Linked DNA regions of Lepisosteus oculatus. The protein of the gene in region 1 purifies or fractionates together with the protein of each later gene. This does not show direct contact. Links are inferred from orthologs where the notes say so. Each region holds a gene or a part of one and is shown in the gene's direction. Other genes may lie near its edges.

Evidence for each region.
Region 2: the proteins of ebna1bp2 (region 1) and nop2 fractionate together in Homo sapiens (co-fractionation; 3 studies listed by BioGRID and IntAct, with this or other methods). This does not show direct contact. The link is inferred for Lepisosteus oculatus from reciprocal best matches to the Homo sapiens genes EBNA1BP2 and NOP2.
Region 3: the proteins of ebna1bp2 (region 1) and nop56 purify together in Homo sapiens (affinity purification with mass spectrometry; 4 studies listed by BioGRID and IntAct, with this or other methods). This does not show direct contact. The link is inferred for Lepisosteus oculatus from reciprocal best matches to the Homo sapiens genes EBNA1BP2 and NOP56.
Region 4: the proteins of ebna1bp2 (region 1) and bxdc2 purify together in Homo sapiens (affinity purification with mass spectrometry; 4 studies listed by BioGRID and IntAct, counting the BioPlex papers as one, with this or other methods). This does not show direct contact. The link is inferred for Lepisosteus oculatus from reciprocal best matches to the Homo sapiens genes EBNA1BP2 and BRIX1.

What each region holds. Positions count from the first base shown.
Region 1 is NC_090704.1:14,769,388-14,776,647, reverse strand, and holds the start of ebna1bp2 (probable rRNA-processing protein EBP2), read left to right. Parts: upstream 1-4,241; 5' UTR 4,242-4,346; coding exon 4,347-4,421; intron 4,422-4,762; coding exon 4,763-4,843; intron 4,844-5,029; coding exon 5,030-5,202; intron 5,203-5,874; coding exon 5,875-5,998; intron 5,999-6,357; coding exon 6,358-6,447; intron 6,448-6,687; coding exon 6,688-6,763; intron 6,764-7,080; coding exon 7,081-7,171; intron 7,172-7,260. Other genes in the region: cfap57 (cilia- and flagella-associated protein 57), read right to left, coding at 115-283, 809-1,068, 1,513-1,826, 3,218-3,374. UniProt on the Homo sapiens protein: Required for the processing of the 27S pre-rRNA.
Region 2 is NC_090718.1:3,596,946-3,604,390, forward strand, and holds the start of nop2 (28S rRNA (cytosine(4447)-C(5))-methyltransferase), read left to right. Parts: upstream 1-4,434; 5' UTR 4,435-4,524; intron 4,525-5,465; exon of another isoform or gene 5,466-5,582; intron 5,583-6,336; 5' UTR 6,337-6,365; coding exon 6,366-6,471; intron 6,472-6,820; coding exon 6,821-6,863; intron 6,864-6,961; coding exon 6,962-7,041; intron 7,042-7,350; coding exon 7,351-7,445. Other genes in the region: histone H2B 1/2, read right to left, coding at 1,943-2,317; histone H1.2-like, read right to left, coding at 3,431-4,020, 4,223-4,340. UniProt on the Homo sapiens protein: S-adenosyl-L-methionine-dependent methyltransferase that specifically methylates the C(5) position of cytosine 4447 in 28S rRNA. Required for efficient rRNA processing and 60S ribosomal subunit biogenesis.
Region 3 is NC_090698.1:69,131,542-69,138,638, forward strand, and holds the start of nop56 (nucleolar protein 56), read left to right. Parts: upstream 1-4,091; coding exon 4,092-4,119; intron 4,120-4,319; coding exon 4,320-4,367; intron 4,368-4,441; coding exon 4,442-4,656; intron 4,657-6,505; coding exon 6,506-6,595; intron 6,596-7,046; coding exon 7,047-7,097. Other genes in the region: uncharacterized protein, read right to left, coding at 1-152. UniProt on the Homo sapiens protein: Involved in the early to middle stages of 60S ribosomal subunit biogenesis. Required for the biogenesis of box C/D snoRNAs such U3, U8 and U14 snoRNAs. Part of the small subunit (SSU) processome, first precursor of the small eukaryotic ribosomal subunit.
Region 4 is NC_090698.1:20,699,788-20,707,078, reverse strand, and holds the start of bxdc2 (ribosome biogenesis protein BRX1 homolog), read left to right. Parts: upstream 1-4,279; 5' UTR 4,280-4,308; coding exon 4,309-4,461; intron 4,462-4,926; coding exon 4,927-5,038; intron 5,039-5,199; coding exon 5,200-5,243; intron 5,244-5,818; coding exon 5,819-5,889; intron 5,890-6,010; coding exon 6,011-6,060; intron 6,061-6,478; coding exon 6,479-6,552; intron 6,553-6,644; coding exon 6,645-6,695; intron 6,696-7,147; coding exon 7,148-7,249; intron 7,250-7,291. Other genes in the region: cell cycle checkpoint protein RAD1, read left to right, coding at 1-173, 422-530, 697-955, 1,822-1,920, 2,824-3,007. UniProt on the Homo sapiens protein: Required for biogenesis of the 60S ribosomal subunit.

The sequences.
Region 1 (7,260 bases):
TATGATCCTGTCTTCTCCAACTTGATAAAAGTTCTAGACTAAACTTTTGTAAGGTTTGATAAAGGAAGTAACATTTCTGTAATCAAATCAAGTCAAGAGACAATACTCTCTCACCCTGATCTCCCTGGTTCTCTTATATGTGTCCTTTTCGTCTGTCTTCTCAAACAAGCACACTGTCCCCGGCCCAGCTGCACAGGCAAACCCCTTGGAATAGGCAGTTATGGCTGAGACATGAGGAAGAGAGGTGGACATTGGCTCATCCAGCATGCTTTTTTCCACTGACCTAACAAGCAAAAACAGAAGTTTGTAACTGCATGCATTTTATGTTTTTACATTATAAGTGTGAAAGTTAACATATTATTTGTCGCTTTAATGCGCATTTATTGTTGAAGGTGGATGGATGAACACACAAGATGGATGAACAGGCATTGTTAATCTGTTGTCATAATAATCTCTGTACACAACACAAATGTATCAAGAAGAACTGGGGACTCATACAGTACTTGGCATAAATGAAATACTTCTCTTGTTCCTAATATCAACCTGTGTTCATATGATGCCATTGATTCCAAGTGCTTTACTTTGGAAATTTAAACTTTCGGTTATTTAACTTCCTGATTCAAGTGTACACATTTCTGACACATGGATGTAATTGGTGGCATAAACAGCAGAAGATTCAGTCAACATTTTCATTGCAAATTTCTGAGGTCCCTTAAGAAACGTCTGTACTACATATTTAAGAGGAGCATCAGTGAACAGCTTAGAAACAGTTGTTGTTTGTCTCTCCAGCCTCCCTCTCTCACTGTACCTGTCAGTATCTCTAGTGGTTAACTTTGGCACCACACTCATCTCCCAGCGCAGATCTCCTGACTCAAACACCAGGAGCCTCCCGGTCTCTGTGCCGACAATAACTCTCTCATCCGACACCCACATGTGGGACAGGAAGTTGTGAGCCTCCAGCTTCTGGAAGTTGGATTGTTTGAGGGTTCCTTCAGCATAGCGGAAGAGTTTAAACACCCCATTTCCACTCACGCAGATCTGTGTGTTGTCCTGAGGATTAAAACTAACCTTAGGAAATAAAAGAAATGTGTATTTTAAAACATTAATAGCTCCTTTTTGTTTTTTCACTTACAGATAGACAAATCAAAATAACTCATTAGTTTAAACCTAATGATTAAAAGAAATTAGTCACCACTGTCTACACTTACATTGATATTTCAATTAATAAAAAGTTACATTAACCCATTTAACTTGTGGTCAACAGTGTATGTTCAAATTACATAAATCCAACACATCCACTCACAATCATGTCTTTTTTGAGTTTAAGACTGTTTTCATCACTTTTTCTTCATGCCTCAGGTTTTTAAAAGGGTTTTGTTTTTTTATCCACCCTCATGCAATTTATCTTTATTAGCTTCCACTGGTGGCAAAGTCAGTAGAAACTCAAGAAGGACTATAAGGTGGCCATCTAAACTAGTCGCGTGCAAACTTAAACCCTGTTTTGTTCAGTACCTGGGAGATAGGGTTAGTTGTGGTGCCAGTCTTCACTGTGGCCATCACCTTTTGTTTCTCCCACATCCAGTAGAACAGGGTCCAGTCTGGAGCCCCCGATTGGCCAATGAGGTATTTGGAGTCTGGAGAGAAAGCCATGTAGACAAAGTCCTGCACTGGGGAGTCCCCCCCACTCAGGACTTTCCTCTTCCTGCTCTGCTCATGCTGCAGGTCGTACACAGTGATGGTGCCTTTCTCGCCTCTCTCTGACACGGCCAGGTAGCGGCGGTTGGAGCTAATGGCCAGGGCTTGCATGCCATGGCTTCTCTCTGTGCCTGCAGAGCATAGTAGCACTGATGGTTAACAGTCTCCACATTATCGGTTATTGTTCTGTTAAACGTGACAGACATGCAAAAGAGTTCCAAATCTGTTTGAAATGTGATGCTAAATATTATAAATAGGGGGATTTTAAATGTAGGGTCCTTATACAAAGGTGTTATTTGTATATACTAGACACTAATTATTATGTTAATTAATGAATGTTAATTGTATACTAGTTGCAATAATTATTACACATAAAATTAATAAAATGCTGTCTATAGTCAAGTTTGGCCACGTGTTATAAACTGTTATACAGTTTAAAGGTGGCATAATAACGAGGAGACAAACTTAAAACACATACAAAGATTAAGTTATAATTCAAATATACAAGACACACAAACTAGTATCTACAAAATATTTACAGTTTATGAGTCCCTGAGTCAAGACATTCCACAGCCTAAAGTTCCCTCTCTTCAAAGGCGGACCCACACGAACGCAAACCAAGCAAGACACAACACAGCTGTTAAGGAAAGTCTCCCCTGGAACATTTTTTTGAATTCTTGAATTAGGTCAACTCATAGTCTTCTCTATTTCAGGGTATAAGGTTTTACTTCTTTTAGACCTTTAGAGTAGGATAATCTTCTGAATACAGGTATGTAGCTGATCACTCTTCTCTGTATTCAGTCCAGAGAGGCAATACCTCTTTTGTATCATATTAACCTAAGTTATGCACCCATTCTAAGTGTTACTAGTGTATTGTACAACTTTAACATTACAGCACATCATTTAAATTTTATAACTATAACTCTATGTTCTTAAATATATATACTAACATTCTGTTTGCCTGTTTATTGTCTAGAAGTGTCTGTCACATCGTACAAAAATCCATAAGTATGTTTTATAGGCAGCTTCATGTTTTCCATTTTAATTTATGGTTTATGTCTTTGGTATCTGCATGTAACACTCTGTAGTTGTCTACATTAGATGTCATCTACTAGATGTTTGTTCAGACTTGAATTCCATCTGAATCTTTTTAAATTTCCTTTTCACTTTCTTCTGTTTTTGCTAATCCTCCTGTTTTGATGTCTGTGAATTTCAGTATTTTACTATGTATGCCAGAATCTAGATCATTGATACAAACTAGTCAGCATAGTGCTCCGAACACAGACCTCTATGGCACTCTACGAATTATATCCATCCAATTGGCACATTCACACACCTTATATCTAATATTATATGTTTGTTTCATTTGCAAGAAAAATATTCTTAATGCTTCTTTAGATAATTAGAACAGAATTAACCACAGACCGTTCCTTAAAATCAAAGATACCGAGTTCCCATATTGAGGTCCACAATCTAAAAAGACAACACAATATAGTCAATTTATGGAGATGCATTTTCTTACCTGGAATAAACTTCTGCCATTTCTGGTCAATGTTGTAGCGCACACAGTTGTTTCCAGATGGGAAGATGACAGTTTGCTCATCAAAGTACAGGAGATTATTGGTCACCCCGGCCCGGAGACCGAAGATGTGATGAGACTGAATAACAACCGCAGACATTGTTCAGCGATTGCTCGCCCTGCGAGTCACTTGGCGGACCTGCTAATACAAGATCCAATTCTACAAATCCCATAAGCCAAAAATGCATTGTGCTCAATTAAAATGCAATATCGATTCAGTGAAAAACTATACTCTCATTCGCCGCATTTTAAAATAACTTTATCATATTTTACCAATATATTTAATTTAATATTAAATATTTATTTATTCCAGGCACTAATAGAAAGATAATTGTTGATACCGGTACATTATTTTAGTTTTTATCATTTTAATTAGCTAGAAATGTCCTACTCTAAGTGTTGTACAAAGTTTTTGCCTTAACGCGAAAAAAGTCACAACGGATATATAAAAGCTTAAGTCATTATCAATATTTAAAAATCCTTTTTTGGTATATTTCTTTACACTTTTGACTCTTTAACGTATATGTTGTGTTTTTTAAACTTCAGAAGTCCTTAATTCGTCGCTTCTTTAAAAAAAAATATGTTGACACCTACCAACACTTGTGTCTGCAGCGAGCCCAGTTTGCAGTCCCGCTAACATTGTTTACCGGTTACCAAGGGGACAGAAAGTGTCAAGTTCACGTGTTACTGTGACAACGAATGCTCCCAGACATCTTTACGGCAGTGATGTGTACCGGGAATTGTAGTGAAGTTCTCTTTTAGTTCCCAAATTTAATAAATGTAGAATTTGCTCAGTCGATTTATCAATAAATAAAGGAAACATTGAATTTGATATTTTTATATTTATTATATTTTAACACTTACTGATTATTAATCAACTATAAAACGGAGAAATTAATTCATAGCTTCATAACATTTGCGGAACGTTTCTTTCAAGCACTCCTCATCCAGGGCAGAATTGCGTGCGTACTTGGTCTCCACTTCCTCTTGTGCTCCATGTGTCCATGCGAGTGAGCTGCAACACGCTGAGGAGTTTTAATTTTCAGATTTGCTTGCATTTGTTGACTGTAAGATGGAGGATGTTGAAGATGATTTACAGTTAGGCTTCGAGTCCGAGGAAGAAGACGCCGATTTATCGGATGGAGAGGTGAGCACGCGCTTTTAAATCCGGTCTTTATTTTTGTCCATATCAGTACAGTTTATTACTGTAGTAATATGTTAAAAGTTGTGTTCATTTCTTCTCCTTAAACGTTTTTCCCCCAAACACGCGAGGAGCTCTATTATAGTTTTATAAGTCTGCATTATTTAGTAAGTATTTTAAACTATTATAGGTCTGGATAGCTATCGATACAGTTTATCTTTCGTTTTGAGTTTTTCCACTAAGACATATGTCTCATTGAGCTCTAAGGTCTGTTGTATTTATTTAAAAGGCTTAATTTAAAATCAAAAGTAAGCCCTTAACGGTATTAATTGTCTTTATATGTTTAGCTCCAGGAAGCCTTCTCCAAGGGGGAGCTGAAGCCTGGATTAAACATTCCTCTACAGGAAAAGAAGATCGTTAACAATATGGTGAGTCTTGTTTCCTTGTTTGTTTGGGTTCTTAAAACTTGTAGGACGAGGAGACATTGACAGTTTTATATGGGAGTTGTTACAATGTTTTCGTTTGTCAAATGTGTTACTGGTGCTGAAGTTTCTCACTAAACCAAATGTCTTGGAATTCTCTAAACTGAAGCCCACTTGTCTTTGTGTTCATAGGAAGGTCTGAAGCAGTGCTTGTCCGAGCTGCGAAAGAAATTACCCTGGTTGGAACGGCTGGATTTGACCAGTTTGCCAGCGCCTGACATTGTGGCTAAAGCAGAAGGGAGGCCAGTAGCAGAGGAGAGTGGGGAGATCAATGCAGAGGATGACTTCCAGAGAGAGATGTTCTTGTAAGCCCGCAAAAGCCTTTATTCACCACAGTATGCAAAGAGTTGCCATTTTGCAGATTGGAACTTTAAAGGGTTGAGATTTTTGCCTCTAATGCTGAAATATGAATTAAGCCCTTTTTCATCAGTTAGGCTACAAAAATGACTCACTTATTAGTTATCTCCCTTGTATATTAAATAATCTTGAGTACATCAGTAATGCTGTGGCTTGTGCACTCATTAAAATTATTCTGCATCAGCATTCTTTTGTACATATCACTGGCTTCCTGTAAAATGTGGAGTGGACTGTAAGGTTGTCCTGATCGTGTATAAGGTACTAAAGACAGCCTTCTCGCAATGAGCCACAATGTCTGTGGAACTCCCTGCCTCGATCTATTGGAGAGACTAGACTGCAACTGTCAACATCTTGGAACAGGCTTATATATACACCCTTGCCTTTGCTGGGTCTTTATTTTTTTTAAGCTCATGAGTCAAGTTATATTGCTATTATGTTTTACTTTCCCATGTGTACATATAGACGTACGTAATGAAGATAAATGCCAAGGCAAGCTTCCTCAAAAAATCTTGAGACACCAAGAGAAAAACAGTGGATAAACGCATGTTTCTTGTGTTATTGTGGGAAGTATTCATCACACTTTTTTTTCTCATTGCCTGTTTTTCCTCAATGTATTTTAGCTATCGTCAGGCCCAAGCTTCTGTGCTGGAAGCATTACCACGGTTGCACAAATTGAAGATTGCTACCAAGAGACCAGAGGATTATTTTGCTGAAATGGCCAAATCTGACCAGCAAATGCAAAAGGTTGGTCCCACATACTGACGCATGAGACACAGAGAGATTATTAGTGGATTTAAAATAAACTTGGGGGCTCCTAATGCAGTCTGTTACAGGCAATTTGTCTTTTCCAGCAAATGGTTTAGCATCTTAATCAGTCTGTAGCATAGACAAAAATGCTAAATTCTCTTCTGTTGTTGAATTTGACATTTCAAAACGGCGTGAAGTCTTTACAAAATCTGTCAAGTGCGTTCGTGTTTCACATCTGTATCCAAGTGTGTTAAAGCTGGTATGAATTCGCATTTGAAAAAAATTGTATTGAACTAACTCCTTTGAACGAGATCTGATTTTTGTGTGATGTATATCCTGTACATCTTCTCTTGTAGATTAGAACAAAATTGCTGGCCAAACAGACAGCAATGGAGAGGTCTGAGAAAGCCAAGAAACTCCGAGAGCAGCGGAAATATGGCAAAAAGGTAAGTCAGTGGGTTCTGCTGTCTACCTGTAAGGACTGTCTCCTTCCACAGTTGTTTACTCATACCTTGCATGTTTTATGACCTGCATGAATTGTACAAATGAAAGTGTAATAGATCTTCATCCTACTTATTATGGTTTGTACAAACTGAGGGTTCTCACTTTTGAATTAAGCTTTTAAAGTTGGTCATTGTTTGGTGATTTGTGGGGATCTGTTTTTCTGAATTATCGGTGTGTTGTAGGTTCAGACGGAGGTGCTGCAGAAAAGACAGAAGGCGAAGAAAGCCATGATGACTGCAGTAAAGAAATACCAGAAAGGTACAGTGGGCTTACACAAAGGATGAGGATACTAACGCAAGGTTTTAGACTGGTTTTAGATACCAGTCCATGACTTTACCTTAATATGCTTGTCTTATTGTGCTATAATAATACATTTCTAAAAGACGGCAAATAAGAGACTTTCAGATTCAGTTCAATTATTTTCTTGTGAGTGGAAAATAATGTCAAGTGATTTTACTGTTCCTTCCATTTTCTGTAGAAAAACAAGTGAAGCTGAAGGGGACTGTAATACTACTGTAGGTAAAAACTGTTTTTTAATCTTGATGCGTAATGTACAGCAAATTCTTACTCTACAGGAATGACCGACAAGCTTGATTTCCTGGATGGTGACCAGGAAAAAGGCAAGAAAGGGGATAGCCTATCAAAGCCAGTCATGAATCAACGAGGGTAAGAGCTCTCCTTTTTTTTTTCTTCATCAGTCTAACCTTACAACTTGGGTACTTCCCGTGAGATCTGTAGATAATCTCTTGTCATTC
Region 2 (7,445 bases), on another chromosome or scaffold:
ATACTAAAGTATCCACACAGCTGAGTTGAAACAGCCTGAGTTCTTGTACTTAGTTAATTGCCGGTTCTTTTATACACAATTCTCTTTATTTCTTCAGACTGACTCCTGTCTCTTTAATCTCACATTCCACTGCCATGTGGAGGGGGTTTGTTCTCACTGGTTTCTTATTGTTCTCATTAATTCTTCAGTCTTGCTACAGGTTAATTTTGTTACAGTTCGTTACTCATAAACACCAAACTGCTTCAGCTGGTGTGTATATTACATACACCTAACAAGCATTTTTTTTAATCAGCTTTACCCAAAGAGTTGTGGGTGAATGGTGCAAGTTGTCCAAACAAGTCTCTAGACACAACACAATGAGATCTGTGTCTATTAGCGACTATCTACCTATCAATTTACTGTCTTCTATGATTCTATGCTTTCTATGCTAACTGGCTGAAAAGCTTATCAAAAGAACAAGTTCTAACCTGGACCCCCTGGAGGTAGTGGCTGAAAGGAGAATGGTGTCCAAATTAATGGCCATCATGGACAGCGTCTCCCATCCCCTCTATGACATGCTTGTGAGAACGAAGAACACGTTCAGCAGTAGGCTGATCCAACCACATGCGACAGGGGGCGCTACAGGGGGTAATTTCCTGCCTTCTGCCATCAGACTGTGCAACTCCTCCACTGTGTGTCTGGGCAGGGGCAACATTGACCTGTTTTTGGGAATGAAAATGAATTTCTCTGTTTACAGCTGGTTTTCCTCTTTCCAACTGATTTGTGTGCAATATATGCTTTGTGTAATATATTTATAATGTGCAATATATCTTTTTGTATACTGTACATTCTGGTTTGTCTTACATCTCCTGTAATGTGAGCAATTCTATATACTCCATTTTTAAAAAGGTTTTACTGCACTTCTCACTGACTGTACTTACTGTATTGTTGTAATATTGTATCATTCGTTACATTGTCCTGTGGTAACAGTGCCAGTCTGCTGGTGCACTGCAATTTCCCTCAGGGGATTAATAAAGTATCCTGAAGAGAGTTCTGTTGTATATAAGAACAACGTCCTTCTTTCAGATTTGATATAAATCAGTTGCAATGACTACATTCTTTTAACCCCGGTTGCTTCTAAATCAAAAACACAGATTAAGCACAGGCACATCAGTACAAATACGTTGTTTCTTCAGACCTTGGACTGTATATTTTTTCATGCATTCTTGATCTTACCTATATTTCATTCTCTCTCATTTCATAATTACGATATGCATCGGGTTTAAAGAACTGACCTTCTTTAGAGATTTTTAATAAGGGGTAAGAAGTTTTTAGGTCTAAGTGGCTGCAGTAAAGGTCAAGAACCTCTGCTTTCTTTATTATGGGCTTTTTAAGAGAAACGATTCCTTCTCTCCTGCTCCCTCTGCTGGACAGCTGTGGTCTCTGCTCCCTGAGCCTTGTCCTGGTTGAGCTGTAGCCTTACAAACAGGGACATACTTTTCTATCGGACCTGTCCAGCACTTAACTTGGCGAGGTACACTTGAATAATTTGAAACAGCGGTTAGCCGCTTACAGCCACTTGGTCAGAAGAGGAGCTGTGTGTGATTTAAGTCAGGGTGAATTTGAATCGAGCACAGGATACACTTTACACAGAATTGGGGGAAGTAAACAGCAGACTGATGGACAATTTTAACGTTCATCCTAACAAGCTTCTCGAATTTAAGCACATCGGAACGACAAGCGAGAATTATACGATATTGCTTAAAGAACCAAGTGGGAAATGTTTTTTGTTTTTTTTTATTAAATCAATCAAATCCAAGTTATTTTAGTGCCATTGCACTATATTGTCTATTTCCACGGTTTGAAGCAAGAAGGAAGAAATCATGATTGCTCTTTTACGGACTCTGTGGGTGGCTCTTAAAAGAGCCTTTGGGTTCGCTGATCCGGGACGGGCGGGCCGGGTTTACTTGGAGCTGGTGTACTTGGTGACGGCCTTGGTGCCCTCGGACACGGCGTGCTTGGCCAGCTCTCCGGGCAGCAGCAGGCGCACGGCGGTCTGGATCTCCCGGGAGGTGATGGTGGAGCGCTTGTTGTAGTGCGCCAGGCGGGAGGCCTCGCCGGCGATGCGCTCGAAGATGTCGCTGACGAACGAGTTCATGATGCCCATGGCCTTCGACGAGATGCCGGTGTCCGGGTGCACCTGCTTCAGCACCTTGTACACGTAGATGGCGTAGCTCTCCTTCCTGGTCTTTCTGCGCTTTTTGCCGCCCTTCCCGGCCGTCTTGGTCACGGCTTTCTTGGAGCCCTTCTTGGGAGCGGATTTCGCTGGTTCAGGCATCTTCTCAAATTACGTACTGCGTACAAAATGATGAAACTCACGCCTCCTGCAGCCCCCTATTTATAGCGGCTGTATGCAAATCATCTCGCTCAGCTGAGAAGGAGGCTCATTGGTCAGCTAGAGAGCTGCTCTCCTATTGGCTGCGCTCTGCGCCAATGAAATTCAAACGGCTGAGCGCCTGAGCCGCTCGCTCTGACTCCAGGCGCCTCTCTCTCCCCTCCGCCCGAGCACTCAGGAACAAAGGGCCGTGCGATCCGTTTTGCACTACGTGCAGATTTTCTGAAATCCGACTCTCATGCCGTTTATATCCCCTATCCTAGAAAACAATGTGCTTGGCGTAAACTGTGCGATTTGTGCAAACTTGGGAGTCAAAAGCCCGCTCGCTCTGATTCCAAGCTACTAGGACAGCAACTTTGCTGCAGTTTGCGCTCCGAGGTGCACTAACAGCCCTGACCTCTAATTGTGTATTTTGTTTTTAAATCTCACGATTCAGTCGCCTTATATTTTCTCATATTTGTGACTGAGATAGTTCGATCATCATAAGAGCTGATTGTTTTGAAGCAAATCCAAAAGTAATTTAATTTTCATGGGAGAAAAAAGGACCTTTGTTATTGGGGAGTGCGCTTATACACTAACCTATTTTAAAAGATCTTCACTATCAACTCAATAGCGTGTTTTTTTTAAGTAAATAAAATAAACAGTACCAATTCATGTATTAATAGTTTTTATTTAAGGTCTAAAATTAACTATCGTTCCACTGATATGTATTTCTGCTCCGCTAAACGCAGATGGTCTTAACAGCATTAATCTAATTCATATGAAATGCAATCTAGGTACCACTGCAAAGATTTTCCTTTTCACTTTAAAAAATAAAGGCTGATATGCAAACCAACAGTACATCCTTTAAGTGGGACACAATCCTCAATCAAGTCACCTGATATATTTTGTCATACATGTAAGAATTCATCTGCATTTAATTTTTTTTTTTTAATTGTGTGCATGATAAAGGATGTGTAGGGGATAAATACACCGGAACTCTTGAAGTTATCATTTAAAGCTGCTTAGCCCGTTTATTTGTTGATTCACTCATATAAAATCAAAAACCTTTCCGTTTTAACGCCTCTTTTTCGGAGCCGGTTTTCTGGGCGCCTTCTTCGCCGCCCTGCCTTTCACAGCTGGGCTCTTGCCCTTATCAGCGCCTCGCCTGTCTGCGACCTTCGTGGGTTTCTGCCCGGTGGGCACCTTGCCCGCGGCTCCGGCCGGCTTGTTGGTCCTGCCATGACGCCCCGCCGGCTTAGTCTTTGCGGCGGCCTGTCTGTGTCCCTCCGCCCCCCGCTTCGCGGCTTTCCGTGCCCGCTCCGTCGTCGCCGCCGCCGCTGCCGGCTTCGCCCTCCTCTCCCTGGCCGGGTTGAGCGCGAAGGAGCCCGTCGCGCCTCTGCCCCCGGTCTGCACCAGCGTCTCCCGCCGCACCAGGCCCCTGACCGCCGCGGCGACCCGCGTGTCGTTCCTCTCCACGTCGTAGCCGCCGGACGCCAGGACCTTCCTCAGCTCCGCCATGCACAGGCCGCCCCGCTGCTTCGACGCGGCCACCACCCGGAGGATGAGCGCGGAGACGCTGCCGCCGCCGCCGCTCCCTCTCTTCCCGGCCTGGGCGCCAGCCGCCGCCGCCGGCCTCTTGTTCTTCAACCCGCCGACCGCGGTTTCTGGCAAAAAGGAAGTGAGAACGACATTAGGCGAGAGGGCGGTGTCTAGACATCGTTTTCACTCTTTCCAAAACTGCACAGGCGCTGTGACGGAACACCACGGCATCATAATGAATTAAAATGACAGCGAGAGGCGCGGGTGTTTTGTTTATGTCAGCCGTGCTCAGGGGCGGCCGGCTGGGATTGGGGGGGTCACACTGACTGGGCGCGGCGCCGGCGGCCTCCGGGCCTTCGTCCCGCAGCGCCTTCTTGAGCAGCCGGCCGAGGCGCTTGGCTCCGGCCTTGCCGAGTCCCCGGCCGCCCGGCTCCCTCCCGGACATAGTGTTTCTGGAAAAGCGTCAGCCGAACGGACAGAGCCCAGAGCTCCGTTGGCAGACATGGAAATGTCCCGTCGCTCCCAGTGAGGCAGCGCTGCCGCCGGCAACGTCTCTCTCCGTCCGTTAGGGGATTTGTTTCCGAACTGCGGTTGCCTGGCGACGGAGGGTCCCGCGTGCTGGTGCCCAGGTGAGATGTATTTTTCTTTACGCCGGGACACCTGCAGTTGATAACTGCACCCCGAGCCACAGCGCCTACCTGAGGCTTTTGGGAGCCTTAATAATATAACTTTCATAATGCATGAGAGACAAATCAAGACTAAATAAAGACCTATTTCTGACTGTTTATAGAAGCATTTTACCTCTATGTACATGTACACTCTAGGTCTTTATTTTTTTCATTGGGTTTTTCTTTTAAATGATTATTATTAATTATTATTGTTAGTTTCCCGATATGTTCAGTGTCTTGGATTCACTCCACCCTGCTGACCGGAATTTATTTCCTTAGGTTAATTCTTAGTTTCAGGTACAAGAGTTCTGTGGTTTACAACAGCTTGCTACAGCGAACCTTTGTAAATATGTTTGTCTTAATGTTTTTTTTTTGTTTCAGAACCCTAAATTGTAACTCTAACAGATCTTTTCCCACTTTTAATTGAGTGTGCACAGATAGTACAATCCAGGATCATCCAAATAAAGAAAGTTCGTACGTGCCGGCGGTCTCAGTTCTGTTAAAATAACTTAATGACTGAATTTATACTTTTGTGTTCAGTTCAATCTTCTGATCAACGTTGTTGAACAAAGCAGCAGCAAGTTATAACCCCCCAAGTTAGTGAGAGTATCTACGTACGTCTTTTAATCTAATGCATGAAATATTTTTCGTATTAATGTATTTGAAAAACGTGCTGCCTTCAAAACCTTTGCCTATTAATACCCGCCTCGTCTCTTGCCAAAACTGTTAGTTTGAGCTCTTACAAACCACTTCAGCTTATTAATGGCCGGCCTTTGGAGCGCGAGAGGTTAAAAAAAGGCTCTTAATACGTCACGGAGACCCGCTCTATACCGGCGTGTGTTTTGGTAAGCGCTCTGCGTGATGTCATAAAGGATGCGACGGAAATAGCTCTCTCTGCTAAGCGACGGAAACACGTGCCAGTCTTTGCGCACATTTCTCGTTTTCGTTCGTGCTACTACGGCTGCATGTGCCCGGACTTTTAATACTTTAGAGCTGGATGATTCGCCTTTTACAAACCAGTGAGTTTTCTTTTTACTTAAAGATATAAAAAATCGAGGGACACAGGAGGGTGGGGGGAGAGAAATCTTGACTGTGCGGTTAAAGTCCTGTTACGATTGTAAACGGATTCTTGTAAAACTTCAATACGAAATCGAACTATTGAGATGTTTATTTACTACCGCCGTATCCTCGTTAAAACATTAAGTGAAACGATAGTAGTAAAGAAGAAGTGTTAAGACATAGAAAAGGTAAGGTAATAAAAAAAAACCCTGCCCCGATCAAATTTAACTTAGTGGCCTGTAGATTGATTAGTGATCGGAGGAGGATTTCTTTAAAAACGCTATGGAAATGTGTTCGCTTTTAGTCAGCAACTAAAATTAAAACGAAGTACTGTTACTAGAAGCTGAAGTACTAGTACCCCGTGAAATTGTGATAGAGGTAAACCAGATTCCTATCGTGCAGCGGTTTCATCACAGTAGCCTGCAACCTATCAAATGTGAAATGTTGTTGGTATTTTAATAATTGATTTAGACATCTGATATCGCTTTGCTTTTTCTTGTAGATTGCAGGTTTGTAGACGTTCTAGTTATTTCTCTCTGAACTACATCTGTTAAACAGTGTTTTCTTTTTCTTAACCAGACGGATTTTATTTGTAAGAAATATCAAGCCATGCGAATCTGTAGGATTTCCAGTATTCGAAGTTTTGCTTTGCAGGATCTGTCATGTTACGTTCGAGATCATATGTCTAAATTCATTTTATTTTCGTTTGTATAGGCTGTGATTGGTTAATTTAGAGGTCAGTCATGGGGCGGAAGTTAGATCCCACCAATAAGCAGAAGCGAGGGCCAGGACGAAAGGCCAGAAAGCAGAAGGGTGCAGAGACAGAGATTCCCAACTTCTTGCTGGAGGGTAAGCAGCCATCCTGATCATTATGACTGTGATGTACTGGGTGGACTAACATGAGCTCCACCTGCTTAGACTCCCACTGACAGAGCAGGCTGGACTGGACTGACTGGACTGGGAGCTGGATGAGTTCTTTACTGGGATTATAATCAGACTCACACTGACACTGACAGAGCAGTCTGAGACTCTCCAGGCTGGACTGGACTGACTGGACTGTGAACTGGCTCAATTGTTAACATATTACTCTACCAGTATTAGTATTATTATGTCAGAGTCACTTCAGTGTGAGATGTGAGACAGTTGTTTTAAATAAAATAATCACTAATATAATTTGAAAATGTGTTCCCTTTTTTAGGTGATAGTGCGTCTAAAAGACTTGGAAGCAGAGCAAGGAAACGGTAGGAAATATCATCACCACTACTGTTCTTGGTATTTTAAATTGCTGTTCCCCTGCTTCTTGCAAGTTGTGATTGTTGCTATTGTTACTTCTCCATAGTGCTGTGAAGCGTTCTGTTCCCACCTCCCAGCCTAAGAAGCCTGAAAAATCAGAAATAGAACCAAAACAGACAAAGAAAGGTAATCAAATCTTAATGCTTAAAACAATGTCTGCTGAATAAACAAAATGTATTAGTTGTGTTTCTAGGGTCTATATTAGGGTCTGTATGAATCTCTGTGTGTGAGGAGTGTCTCTAGGGTCTATAGTAGGCTCTGTATTATTCTCTGTGTGTGAGGTGTGTCTCTAGGGTCTATAGTAGGCTCTGTATTAATCTGTGTGTGTGAGGTGTGTCTCTAGGGTCTATAGTAGGCTCTGTATTATTCTCTGTGTGTGAGGTGTGTCTCTAGGGTCTATAGTAGGGTCTGTATTAATCAATTTGACTTACTCAGGCTTCAGCGATGAGAACAGCGAGTGGTTGAAGCCAGCGAAGCGGAAGCGTCCCGTGGCTCAGTCCGACAGCGAGTGCGATTCGGAGGCTGAGGAA
Region 3 (7,097 bases), on another chromosome or scaffold:
ATGTAGTTCTCGGCGTAGTCCCGGGCCCACAGCTCCCTCATGTTGTCCGCCAGGCTGACGAGGCACAGCCTGACCAGGGTGCGCACCTGCCCTCTGCTCCGGCCTTTCTCGGCCTTCTCCCTCTGCCACTGAGGCCCACGGAACAGTGGCATCTCCGGCCAGCAGGCGGCGCTGTGTCACACAGACTGACTGTCAATTACCGGGAGCAGACCCCCCTCGCCCCCTTAACACTCGCGGTCCGGGGTTCGTCTGTCTCACCTCTATGATGGAGGGGCGTGTGGGGCCACTCTAAATACTAGATGAAGGCTTCCTTGGCATGAGTTAATTGACAGCTCTTTGATTTAGAAAACACCTTCCTCTCTCCATCAGCTGTTGAAGCGCTCTGTACCGTGCTTCAGTCAAACTGAACCCTGGACTACCCACGCCTACGTGTCTGAGGGGCATCTCCAGTTGTACGCTTTGAACTTCGTTGAACTGTACGCTTTGCCACCCCCTGTCCTGCCATTTATGTCGCTGCTGACTGCGTTTAAAAATAAAGATTTGTTTCGTGTTCACGGAGGAGAGATTTCTGCGGTTTCTTACCACACCCCACGTACAGTAAGCCCAGGAAAAGCACACATGAGCCTGGTAACTAGTCCGTATCCAGGTAGGAGGTATAGGTGGTCCCTAATGTTCCTCAAACCAGTTATTACATCTGATATAATGTCGCAGAGTGTCGAGGGAAGCAGTCTAAATCTCTAACCCAGCAATACATGTTAACCCCTGTATTAATTAGGAATTCAACAGAACGCCTCCTGTAATAAAACTTACATTTGTATCGCGTCTGATTTATTTTGTTTCACGTCACAGGTCCGTTTTAAAACACAGAGAACATGAGGGGCGAGACAAGACCTTGATTACACACCTTTACAGGGGGATCTTGTCTCTGGAGAGTCTCCAAACGTAAGTGATCGCGTCTCACCTCCTCGCCGACCCAACCGGTGAACACAAAGCTCTTCCGGGCACGCCTTCTTAAACCTGTATAAGCTGTCCAGGTTTATGACATTTTAACCGTGCCGCTATATGCTGACGGGAGCTCCGGAAGAGGGGTTTGAGAAAACACGGGCGATGACAGCGATGGCGAAACTATGTAAAAAGTCACGTCCCGTAGAGAAGTCAGTCCGCGCTCCTCCTCTGATCCAGCAAGACTGTTCCGCATCCCACATATCCTCCAGGAAAAGATGCACACTAAACGGGAGAAAAGCGAGAAAGCAACCGCACCTTTTTGATCTGAACTCATTGCAGTACCGCCGCGTCGTTTTTTTTTTGTGTGTTTGTTCTGTGTATTTATTTCAATACCCCCTGCTTGCTACACGTTGAAATTCAAACTCGATGATTTGCCAGTGGTGACCACAATGCAGTTTCCAGGAGCGTGGAACGGCATTTTCTGTTCTTTTCCAGCTTTCTTGCGCGTTTTCCCCCAAACTGAACATTAATTTATTTGACTTTGGAACAGCGCAAACAGCAGACCATATAAATACCCGTGTGTGTCTGACTGGTAACTTGCTCTCTGCTCTATCGCAGCTGTAAGGATTCATTTTGTAGTGACCACTCTAATAAGCTTTTATTGATCCACATGAAATCAGAGGGGAACTCTGGGGGCTGACGAGCTGGCCAATGTTTAACACCGAAGGCAAAAGAGAGAAGAAAAGTCGCAACAACAGTGAGAAGTGTAGGAGTCGAGCAGGACGGATTTAATCACACAACCGGAAACACCCTCCGTTACCAAGGGGATAGTTTCTGTTCGCTCTGTACACATTATTCCAGGGACTGGCTGCTGTTGTTTGAAGTGTCTTGGGTCAAAGTGCTTTTCGATTACAGATCTCAAAGCGGGGTCTTCTGCAGGGTTAGGGTGAGGTATGGTTCCATTATGAGCAGTCAAATGAGAGTAAACTCATTCTTTTCTGAATGACATATACTGGACAATGGTTTTTCTGAACGTCATTCACAAAACTTTCCACTTCGTTCAAATGGCAGTCGCCTGAAATTCACCCCAGCCTCGTCAGAATTCTTAGCAATTATCCGGCTAATTAGGTATTTAGACCAGCTTCGTAACTGAGACCGTGAGGGGAACAAAATCCGGAAGACACTACATTCATCAGGAACTGAGTCTGAGGCCCCTGGGTTAGAGGGCAGTAATGCTTGTTGGACTGTTGACTATAGTTCCAAAAAACTGAATATATTTGTTCTTTGAGCAAAGTATAATGCACTTTTAAGACAAGAAGGTAGAGTGATGTTACCAGATAGGGGACAGGATGGAATGTTTTAAACTTACACCGAAAGATATGAGTTCATGAATCAGTGCTTACAGCCCTGTGCGAGTAAACATGTAGTGCTGTAATACTGCAGCTGTTCACTGGTGCTCCTAACAGACAGACACTGTAAACAGCTGAGCTGCTGCTGCTCTGTGCACAGGTGTCTTTCCTGTTGTGATATAAATTCTCTAACTGGGACAGTTTTATACATTTGCTCTCAAATCTTGAAAGAGATTAATGGTATTACACCTAGCATCAATTTAAAGTTTATTTTCATTCTGCTCATACACAGGTGTATGGTATAACGAAATGCTATTTAGCTAGCTCAGTCAGCAGGGGATTGTGGGAGTGTGGACCAAGCTACCCAGCCATGTGGTTGAAGCGGACGCCTTGCTTCTTTCTGGAAACAACTGACTGAGACCCTTGGGTCAATTACCTACCACCAAGTGAATGGTGAACAGCTCCTCTCATTTGTAATCTGTTTTATGTCCCAATGTTCTTAACCCTGTGCACAATTTTACTCCCATTCAAATACCCGGTATCAACCTGTGCAAATTTCACAACTTCCCTGATTCACGTCTGCCGCCTGAAAAGTAACCGAGTGGACCTCCCCAGAAGAGAAATGACCGCCCGTGTCTGTTCATGCTTAAATCTATCACCTGGTGGGAGCTGTTCAGAGCAGACTCTTAATGAACGAGTAAACGTTTTTTCCCTGCCGAACAGAGAAGAAAGAAAACACAACGTTTCGGCCGTGGAGCCTTCTTCGGGTGTGAGCAAGCTGGTTTAGTAAGAGAGGGCCCAGGGCCAGGCCCAGGGAGGAAGAGAAGGAATGACGAAGAGATCTAGAAAAAGATTTGGAGGAGGGCATAGTGGGTCGCAGCAGGTTTAGGTTGAAGTAGTTCAGGTGGCTCCCTGCGTCAGCGGGTATAGGCTGCAAAGGAACAAGTAAAGGTTTATTCCCCGCTGAAAAGAAAAGAAAGAAAAGCCCAACGTTTCAGCCGTGGAGCCTTCTTCAGGTGTAGGCAGGGCTGCATAGCTGCAGTACTTCAGGGCCGGAAGAGTTCTTGTTTTCCTGCCCCTTGACATCTTAAGAGACAGATAAGACTTTATTGATCCCGAAGGGAAATTGATGTGTTACAGCAGCCCAAAACAAGCAAAACGAACAGACATCAGGATAGACAAAAAATTAGAATACGTACAGTAATAAAAAATAAATATAAAATAAAATAAATAAATAAAAATGACCAAATTGAACTCATTAATTGCTTAATTAGAGGTGCTGGAGCCTCTCTTTGTCCTTAAGAAGTTGGGTTTGAGGGTCTCTCTAACCTGCGGGACAGTGGCCTGTGAGGACAGGGGTGGGTGCCCCCAGCCAGCGGGCCAGGTGTTTACCCAATGAAACAGAACATGCAGTGATTGCATTCGTCTAGAAAGCCGTGGGATTGCGAGGAACAATCAAGCCACACAGAGGCTCATCAGATCAGATCTTATCCTGTTTCCCAGGCGTGAAGTGATCAGACAGCACACGGCTCGCCCTCCCCTGGATAAACGCCAGTGCGTCACAGCTCCTGCTCCCAGGCAGGGGGTAATGGGGGCAGAGTTTGTCACGCGAGGGGTGACAGCTGTGTCTGCAGCGGGGACTCACTCCCGCACGCCGTCAGCCACGAGTCCAGGCTCACGCCCACACACACCGCGGACAAGTGTCCTGGACGTCCAGTCACCTGCCAGCATGGCTTTGGACAGTGGAAGGAAACCAGAGCACCTGGAGGAAGCCCCACATGAACACGAGGAGAACATATGAACCCCAGACAGACAGCACCCCAGGGTGGGCATTGAGCCCCTGTGCTGAGAGCTAGCAATTACTTTATTTATTATTATTATTATTATTATTATTATTATTATTATTATTATAGGCAGTAGGCAGTCTACAAACACACCAATCAACACACGAATTGGAGCTGCAGGGAAATACGTTTTGTGCATCTGTATGCTTTGCTGTGTGTGTGACTTTCAGTTGTCTTTCAGAATTAAGACTGCAGAAAGAGACCGGCGTCCTGGTGGAATTTCAACCAGGTGCGTGGTTTTTTTTTAGTGTTGCATATATTCAATTTTTTAGCATAGGATCTGTCCAAAATCTCGCTCTTCAGTCAGGGCGAAAGGATGTGACGGTAAACGTACAGCAGATGGCGCCATGGAAACCCATCTCTCCACCCTCCCCTCCCCCAGCTCTTGTTCTCGCGATACTTCGAAGAGCCAGGGGGCGGGCTCGGGCACGAAAGCGAGGTGGGGCGGCGCGCAGAGCACCTTGGGAAGGAGAACAGGCAGCACGAGAGGACGGAGCTGCGCCGAGGGAACAGCAATGGTAAGACTGCACGTGTGGGGAAGAAAATAACTTCACTGCGCAGACCGAGTCAGCAGGTGCTTTTCAGTGAGGCAATACAGTGGAGGTATTGCTTGTGCGAAGGAACTGACGGAAAATACGTTTTCTGGCTCTTTAGACGTAGCCGGCGGAGATGCGGGTCACACGCAGTCTGGAACAGTGGCCCCAGTCAGGGTGTTGCTGTTGCAAAGCAGTACTCGGTAGCGGTGTAATAAGTAGTATGAAATAGCTGTATCTGTGGGAAGTTACATATGGATGAAAAAATCAATATTTTTTATCAGATTTCTGCAGATCTTCGGTTAGTTGCATGCTAGCTCACAGCTGCTCGGGGCTGCAGCTAGGCCCCAGGAACAGAAAACGATATCTGACGCGGGGCACGGGCCGGGGAAGTCACAGTGCTGGGAAAGAGCCGCAGTTAAAACCCCTGCACCGCGCGCGCTCTGGAGCCCGGCTCGTGCTCGGAGCTGGCGCCGGCCCACGTGTTGCCCTCTCGCTCGGGAGCGGCGGTGGCGGGGCTGCTGCTGCACCATCCTGGGCCCGTCAGGGCTGGAGAAGGACCTGGGGTACGCAACACGAGGCGCTTGTTGCGGGGGGGTTCTGGCGCGGGCCTCCGTCCCGTCGCCACGTGGTGGGGGGGAGCGGGGCGCGCACGTGGCGACGCGGACCCGAGCGGTTTCCTCTGAAGCGCCTCCAGGGGCGAGTTTCTGGTACAATTCCTCTCTTCCCCCCCCCAAAAAAAACCGAATGAACCGAGGAGTGTTTTCATGGCGTCTCTCGGCGGTGTACGATCCTGACAGGCAGAATTCAAGCCTCTTTCCCGGGGTCTGAGTGCGGGGGTTGAGCACGCCGTGATGCCGGACCCACGTGGTTCCGGCGCGGTGCGGCCATGAGAGAGAGGCCTTACAGAATGAAATAGTTCGCGCTTTTCTTTTTTACACGGGAAAAACCTCGCTGTCGTTGGACTAAAAGCGCAGTGCCCTCTGGCGACCGCGGTGCTACTGGGAAATGACAAAATGGGAACAAGTAAAGGGTTATTTGCTGCTGAAAAGAGAAGTTACGTTTCGGCTGTGGAGCCTTCTTTGGTGGCTCCGCGGTGAATCGATCTTCTCTTTTCAGAAGGGAACAACCTTTGCCTTGTTCTTCTGCAGCCTGCGCATGCTGACACGGCTGCCTACTTGAATGACAAAATAGTCTTCCTTTCTGCAGTACCTCTGATATCACGAGGAAGGGGATGAGTCCCGTTAACACGCAGCATGAACACGCATTTGTAGTTTTTTGTTCTTATGTTAATCAGTAGTTCTTCCGCTTTCTGTCCCGGTCTCTTTTGATGTGGATCGTGTCTTGACTCTGTAGTACACCAAGGTGTCGGTTAATACCGACAGTTTGTGTTGGAGGACTCCCCCTGAGATCTGTCACCATGAATTACAGCTCAATCCTGCGGCTTGTCTAGGCCTCTGCGCGCCCTCCTGTACAGATAGGCAGCGGCTGTCGCTGCCCTTACAGTGCTTTTCATCTCCAAGCTCTTCACCGGGGAAGTAAAGCAGAGACGGGGGTTTTAAAGGCACGCTGCTGCGTGGTGTAATGTGGAGCAGGCTGGTCTTGCACTTCGTTATTTCCAGGGTGCGTCTGAATATAGAGGGGAGGTGATTCACACTGAGGTTCGCAGCCCAGCTGGGAGATGCGCTGGCGGGTCAGAAGGGGGCGCCAGACCTGCTTGTTCCAGCGAGTGTAGGGAGATGTCAGGAGCTCGGACGGAGCCGGGACACCGGTGCTGCTGCTGCTGCCTGCTGGCCCGTGGCGTGTGGCCTCACCCCCGGCCCTCTCTCCGCAGGTGCTGCTACACGTGCTGTTCGAACATGCGGCGGGGTACGCGCTGTTCGCCGTCAAGGAGGTGGAGGAGATCGGCATGCTGCTGCCCCAGGTGAGGCCCTGCCCTTTGACCCCGCCCCAATCATAATGACACTCGGGTGAGGGTGTTTGTCCTCCACATGTAGCCTGAGACTGTCATTATCCATGGGCTAGAGACCACTGCAGTGCAGCTCTGCCCTGTGGTCGGACACATACCCTTGTTCTGTGCAGAAAATGTTGCTTGTGGTTTTTACCATAACTGCTTACTGCATGACTCATGGGTGTGAGGGGCAGAGGTGTTGGGTAGGATTTCAGATTTATAAAGCACTTAAAGTAGAAGGTTAATGTTTGCGGTCAATTTTAGCATCCCTGGTGTTCTAAAGTATTCGGCGTCAGGCTTTTAATGTTCACAATTAAGGATCCAGCAGCTGAGAGCCCCCTGTACAGCGTGCTGAGTTCCCAGGGCTTGTGTGACTTGCGATTTTAAATTCCGAGATGTTTGCACGTGTGTTTTCTGTCACCAGGTGGAGGAGAGTGTGCTGAATCTGGGGAAGTTCAGCACTGTGGTGAAGCTG
Region 4 (7,291 bases), on another chromosome or scaffold:
AAGTAAGAGATGACCAGTATGTGTTGGTGGCCAGCTTGGATAACGTCAGAAGCCTTTCCAACATCTTAAAAGCCATCAGTTTCAAAGACCACTCTCTCTTCACAGCCACACCTAATGGGCTAAAAGTTACCGTGGAAGACTCCAAGTGCTTGCAAGCCAATGCTTTTATACAGGTTAGTGCCATCGTGAATTTATAAAAATACATGTTGATGTAACATGCTTCTACATGAAGTGCCTGGTGTCAGGGGAAAAGTTTAGAAACATAATGTGGACAAATATTTTTTTGTTTCATTGATGCAATTTTTTTCGTCTTTTGTGATTATTAATATACATAGTTTAAAGGAATTAAGAATGAATATGTATTTCATTAGTACTGTATATGTCTGCATACTGTAGTTAGCAGGACTTTTTCTTTTTTTAGGCTGAGATCTTCCAGGATTACTTCATAAAGGAAGACTCAGTTGGATTCACAGTTAACTTGACTGTCCTCTTAGACTGCCTCACCATCTTTGGAGGAAATGTTGTGCCAGGTATTGCTCTTTAAAAAAAATGTTAGTATAAAAATATCGTTGTTTTTTTCTCTTATTGAAGAGAGCTATTGTTTACTTGGAAAAAATATTCCAGTTTTCTATGGATAAAGATTTTTTCACTTATCACTACTGATTTTTTTTTACTTTTGTGCTTTTTGGATGAAAGGAGTTACAACTGCTTTGCGGATGTGCTATGGTGGCTATGGCTACCCCCTGACCTTGTTCCTTGAAGAAGAGGGAGTGGTAACAGTGTGCAAAATAAACACCATGGAGCCGGAGGATCCTATTGACTTTGACTTCTGTAGCACCAACGTCACCAACAAAGTGATTCTGCAGTCAGACAGCCTGCGGGAGGCCTTCTCTGAGCTTGACATGACCAGCGAGGTCTTGCAAATCACTATGTCCCCAGATAAACCTTATTTTAGGTGAGTGGAAGTTCTGTGTAGGTACACATTAAAGAAATGTAGATGATATACAAGGAAAAACCCAAACCTCGAAGAAAGATTCAACACAGAACAGCAACTCCTTGCATTAAATTTTCAATAACTACTTTTTTGTGTTTTTTTTATTTTCATACAATTGCTTATTGGTTTAATTTTTTAAGGGATGGTTAATGTGTGTTCCATCCACAAATCAGTAGAACGTGATGTCAAAATTAGATTTCCATAATATTTTGTTTATCTGCGCGTTCAAACATAATGACTTAACATTTACTCTGGAATATGAGAATTACCCTCTGATTGTGTGAATACAAGGAAGAGTCCATTGCTGACACCTTGATAGCGTTGATTTAACTGAAACCAACTTAAGTACTATGTCAAGATTCCTAAACTTATCTGCAGTTAGTTTTTGTAAATATTCTGCTGTGAATATTAATTCTTTAGAAAGATGTAAGGGTTGGGAAGCTTATTCCACATGATTTTAAGATTAGACTCGGAAAGCTGGACTATTAAAAAGTACCACACATGCATTATTTATCACTGCTACTGGTAGTGCTAAGTGGTAGTAACAAGTCAGGTAACAAGCAGCTCAGTCAGGATCATAGCTCATGTACTGTATGCTTTATGCTATACCATCACATGCTTAAGTCTGAAAATTTTGTAAACATCAGTCAAACATTCTTGAAGTATGCCTTCTGTAGCCTTGTTGTCCATAACACAGCATGCATGTTATTAGTCACATGGTATTCTGTTCACTGAAAACAAAGTTTATTTTGCCATCTCAAACATTTTGTAACTTAAGTAACAGTGGAAGTATTCCCTAACATTTTCTGTTTTTCACCAATACATAGACTATCTACGTTTGGGAATGCAGGAAGTGCCCACTATGACTATCCAAAGGACTCGGACATGATGGAGTTCTTTCAGTGTAGCCAAACACAGACAAACAGGTCAGCGGACCCCTTCCATCCTGGTTATTTTGGCCTACCCAACATTTAAGGTTTAGATAAAATTATTTGTTAGTCTAAAGTGTAATTTTCTAAATTGTTCAGTCTTTTTGTTATGCAAATAATCTAAATACTCAGAAATTTACAACTTGTTTTTCACATTGCAAGAGCTACGAACTGCCTTCCATGACAAAGTGAGAACTCTGCAAATTAAGTGTGATGAGAAATGCATTAGGTTTAATAATCTCAACTATTTTATCTAAATTGACAGATCAGAAAGATGACAAAGCAGTGTCTCTCTACTCAGTGTTACATTTATTGTAGTATTTTATATGTATTGTATTAATACAGTAATTAAGGCTAGGGTGCCGGTAGTACTACACCCTTTTAATAAAGGACATAAAAATGATAATTGATAGTACAATCATTTGTTGACTACATAATTATGGAAAAATGTAAAGCAGTAAGGTTATTTTTGTGCACTGAAGAATAACTAGTTTCAAGTGGCTTTGTAGTATACATTTCATTTGGAGGTTCTATGGTTAGTAAAATCCATAAAGATTATATGGATTGGAACATTAAATGAAAACAGTTTAAATTGGTTTACCATAACAGAATTGTTTTTTTTTACTTTAAAGGAGAGGCATAGAGCTAAAAGATGTTGTTAAAACCACACTAATAGAATATGAATAATATCTCTGACAGAGTTGAGTAACTGAAGTCCTAATAACAGTTTTCACAGTCCTGCTTCTAGCCTTCCTCTGTCCTGAACAGATCCAGTGTTCAGTCATTATCCAGCACACTCAGTATGAAAGCTGATGGCGTAGTCATGGGAGTTTTACCAACATGATAGGATAACGGTAGATTTTTTTCACCCTTTTGATGAGCTTTTTGTTGTCTTTGCAGGTATAAAATGTCCTTATTAAAACCTTCCACCAAAGCGCTGGCCCTGTCCTGCAAGGTCTCAGTGCGGATGGACAATCGTGGGTTCCTCTCTCTGCAGTACCTGGTGAGAAATGAAGACGGCCAAATCTGCTTTGTGGAGTATTACTGTTGTCCAGATGAGGAAGTTGAGGAACCTGGAACATAGTAGTCTATTTATTCCTTTTCTTTTAGCCCTGCAAAGTTCTTTTCCTGATTCTGTTCATTGTGTTGTTTTCAAAGATATTGCTGTCATATTTTTCCAATTGTAAATCTCTTCATGGCAGTGGTGATTCAAGCAAATTGTAAAGTTATGTTTCACTTAAAATATTTTTGTATAAAAAAACGCTGAAATAAAAAAGTCTTAATTTTTGCAAACTCTTTGTGAGGTTTAAATTGCACTAAACAACCCAGCAAGTATCATCAGGGTTGCCAGCTGTCCTGGCTTGTCCTTTTCTCCTGGAAACATGGATCTGAACAATGTGGGAGAAAAAAATATATGACCTGGCTCTTCAGCCAAAGGGGAAATTACTCAATTTTTGTACATCAGACTAACATCCAAAAGAAACCTACATAGACCATAATAAAGAGAATATAGAGTTGACAGAATACAGAGTTAATTTAGCCAGCAGCCATATCACCCTGCAACTCACAACTGGCAATCCCCTGAAGCTAAGCAGGTGTGAGCCTGATCAGTACCTGGATGGGTACTGCTGGAAGAGGTGTTAGTGGGACCAGTATGGAGTGCTCACCCTGCAGTCTGTGTGGGTCCTAATACCCCAGCATAGTGATAGGGACACCATACTGTCAAAAAGGCGTCGTCCTTCAGATGAAATGTAAAACCGAGGTCCTGACTCCATGGTCATGAAAAACCCATGGAGTCGAGTGTTTCTCGAAAAGGGTAGCAGTCTTAACCCTATTGTCCTGGCCAAATTTGCCTCTGGCCTTTGCCAATCATGGCCTAATAATCTCCATCTATAAAATGATTTCATTATACTCCCCACTGATAGTTATGTGTGGTGAGCGTACCATGTACACTGTGGCTGCCATCACATCATCCAGGTGAGTGCTACACATTGGCAATGGAGGGGAGTCCCCATTGCCTGTAAAGCCCTTTCAGTGGAGTGTCCAGAAAAGCTCTATATAAGTGTAAGGAATATTATTTATTATAACCTTCAAAAACATTTCATAATCTGAAAATTCTATAATTTTTCATAATAATAAAAATACCTACAAATATGATTAGGTAATAATAAGCTGTTCTTTGCTTTTCAACACATTTACAAACATTTAAGTTCAACATTTGAACAGGAACATAAAAAGGGAGAAAAGCACTAGGTGTGCAATATTTCGTTTGTAAGAACTGTGTCCTCCGATTCGGATGGTGGCGCACGTTCTTCTCGTTAACATTTTTTCTAGAGCGTCCAAGCCTTCTATCGTTGGTAAGCGTCCGCGTCCACTTCCTCTAAAATGGGTGCCTTCAAGAGAAAACGTGGAGTAGATGCCGGAGCCGGGAAAACTGGAAAAAAAGTTAAATTTTCTGAAAATGACAAACGAAAACAGAAATCTGGTCCTGACCAGGAGCCAAACAAAGAAATTAGCATTCCAGCACCGGTTTCTATGGTATGTATAGCACATGAGGACAGACTTTATTGCTTTGTCTATGAGTTGTATGCAGTTGTTTGCAATTGCTGCACTCTTTAACAACGCTCCCATCAATTCGTATTTAGCAAAGGATGCTTAGGTTATTTTTGTACTTAATTTGGATTAATTACATGCAGTTTTTAGTCTATTTCCATGTTCAGAGTGAATCTAAGTAAGAGAAACATAGCTGTTCCATTTTACTCCAGCCAAGTTTGCGTGTTCGGTGCTCTAAGTTAATTCAGAAATATTGTTTGCGTAATAAATCTATACGCTCTTTGTGATTTTATAAATGTTTCAACCGTTTATTATTTATTATTAGCCATTTACTTGAAATAGTTATGTTTCTCAATTTTCTATAGACGTAATCATAAGTATAAAAAGTCTAATTTCTGCTTCAGCATCAGAGGCAGCATGGATAACAAGTTTCCCCTTGTTTTACTTTAGGGTAAGTGGACGAACAAAGAAAGGGTTCTCTTGTTTTCCTCCAGAGGTGTCGACTTCAGAACCAGGCACCTTATGAATGATCTGAGGACATTGATGCCTCACACAAAGCCAGGTAAGCGTTCAGCCAGTGAGTGTAGCCAGTTTCTTTCACAATAAGGCTCCTCAGTCAGCTGTTGAAGATCGTGTACATACCTCAGTAATCTTTAGGTAAAAAGCCAGCTTCAACATTTTAAATTTCTTCCAGTAATATTTTAATGTGACATTTCATTCCAGATACAAAAATGGATCGAAAGGATAAACTGTTTGTTGTAAATGAGGTAAGTCTATGCTTGTCTTTCAGGTTGTCTGTAGTTTTGTCACATTAATTTCTCAAACGTCTGCGTGATAGGAAAAGATAAATGAGGGTTTTGCACAAAAAACTTGGGACTGAATCCAAGTGTAATCACAGATTATTAGCCTGGTGATGATGACATTGTTTTGCCAGACACTTTTTGTCTCTCACCAATTGAAAACGAGCAGAAAGGAATTATAACTTATGAAATTAATTGATACCAACTATTAAAGATGAAAAGTAACTTAGTACTTATTCAGATGAACCATATGAAATACGGACCAAATAGGTCTTGGAAAAAGCACTCAATTCAGTTGTTAATGAAATGCAGTGTATGAAATTATTTTGTTAGTATTTGTTTAAGAAAAGTAGTAGAATGTCTGGGTGTTCTCGTCTTTCTTCTTTGACAGTATTGTAGATGCAGTTGAAACCTGTACTTTATTACCTGAAAGAATGTTGTGATGCTTCACAGCAGAGCACGATATGAGTGTAGTTACATATTCCATTTGTGCTTGAGTCTTAGTTTTTCACTGAAAAACATTTAAACTTGATGTCTTCCAGGTTTGTGAAATCAAAAATTGCAACAAGTGTATCTTTTTTGAAGCCAAAAAGAAACAGGACCTCTATTTGTGGTGAGTACTCAGCTGATTCGATTGAAAGTTATTTTGTGAATTTTCTTTATGACAAATGACTAGTAGTATTACTGAGTAAATGTATATTGCTGGGTTGTTTGACTGTATTTTACTTTTTAAGGTTTTCCAATGTTCCACACGGACCTTCAGCCAAGTTTTTGGTTCAAAACAGTAAGTAAAAGCATCTGAAGGACTCTTTTGGGGATTAATGGATAATTCAAACCTTAAAGCATCAAAAACAATTTAAATTTGTAAAGGGTTTGTTAAATATCTGATGTTGTAATTTGACATGCAACTACATCACACTTCTTGGGCAACTGTTGAATCTCTGTGAAGAATTGACAGTTTTTTCAGTCACCTTCACTGATGTAGACTTGAGGGAATGAGAATTTCTATTATGTTTTACAATCCATACTGGAGTTGAGGTTACGTATAGTTTTCATTGTGGTTTTGCAGTTCATTTGTTTTAATAAAATGATCTGTAAAAATGCGAGGTGCCTGCCTGTGCGTGTTCTCCTGCATGTTCCTTGTGTGCAGTCACAGGAACCACAGCTGTTTCATTCCTTGTTTTTTTCCCTTTTCCTTCAAGTTCACACTCTGGCGGAGCTGAAGATGACTGGAAACTGCCTGAAAGGATCAAGGCCCCTGCTGTCATTTGACCCTGTAAGCAAACACCAGCGAAACTTAACATCTTCAACATTTTAAAGTTAAAGTCCTTTGGGATACTATATAACTTTTTTTGCCTTTTCCATCAGAAGTTTGATAAAGAGCCACACTATGCGCTGCTGAAGGAGTTGTTCATCCAGGTAGGCATGATTTGGACTTTATAATTATCTTCGCTGCTGATTTCAATGTTTTTGTTCTCTCTTCCTGCTTTTGAAACTACCATGACAATCATGATATTCTGTCTTTCATAATAAAGCCTCAGATGTCTGAGGACATTACCACTAGCCTGAATATATTTTTTTGGTATCAATAAAACTTGGAGACCATTAAAATTTAGAATAGGCAGTCAAAACACTAAGGTAGAAATAACAGAACGGTGGATTTTGAGCCATTTTTTTGTTTTTTGTCGATAAGATTTCAGGGATTAAATATCTTTGAGTTGAATTGTTTAACTAAGAAAACACATGATCAGAAAATGCAAAAATTAGTAAGCTTACCATTGATGTTTGTTGTAGTTCAGTGTGTTGCTGTTTATTCAGCTTTTGTACACATTACATTTATTTTTTTTCCCAATTATTCCCGGTTGGTTTAGATTTTCGCTACCCCTCAGTACCACCCAAAGAGCCAGCCATTTGTAGACCACGTCTTTTCTTTCACGATAGCAGATAACAGGATATGGTTCCGTAATTATCAGGTGAGTACAGGAGACTTTTGTTTTCTGGTTCTGTTAGATCTC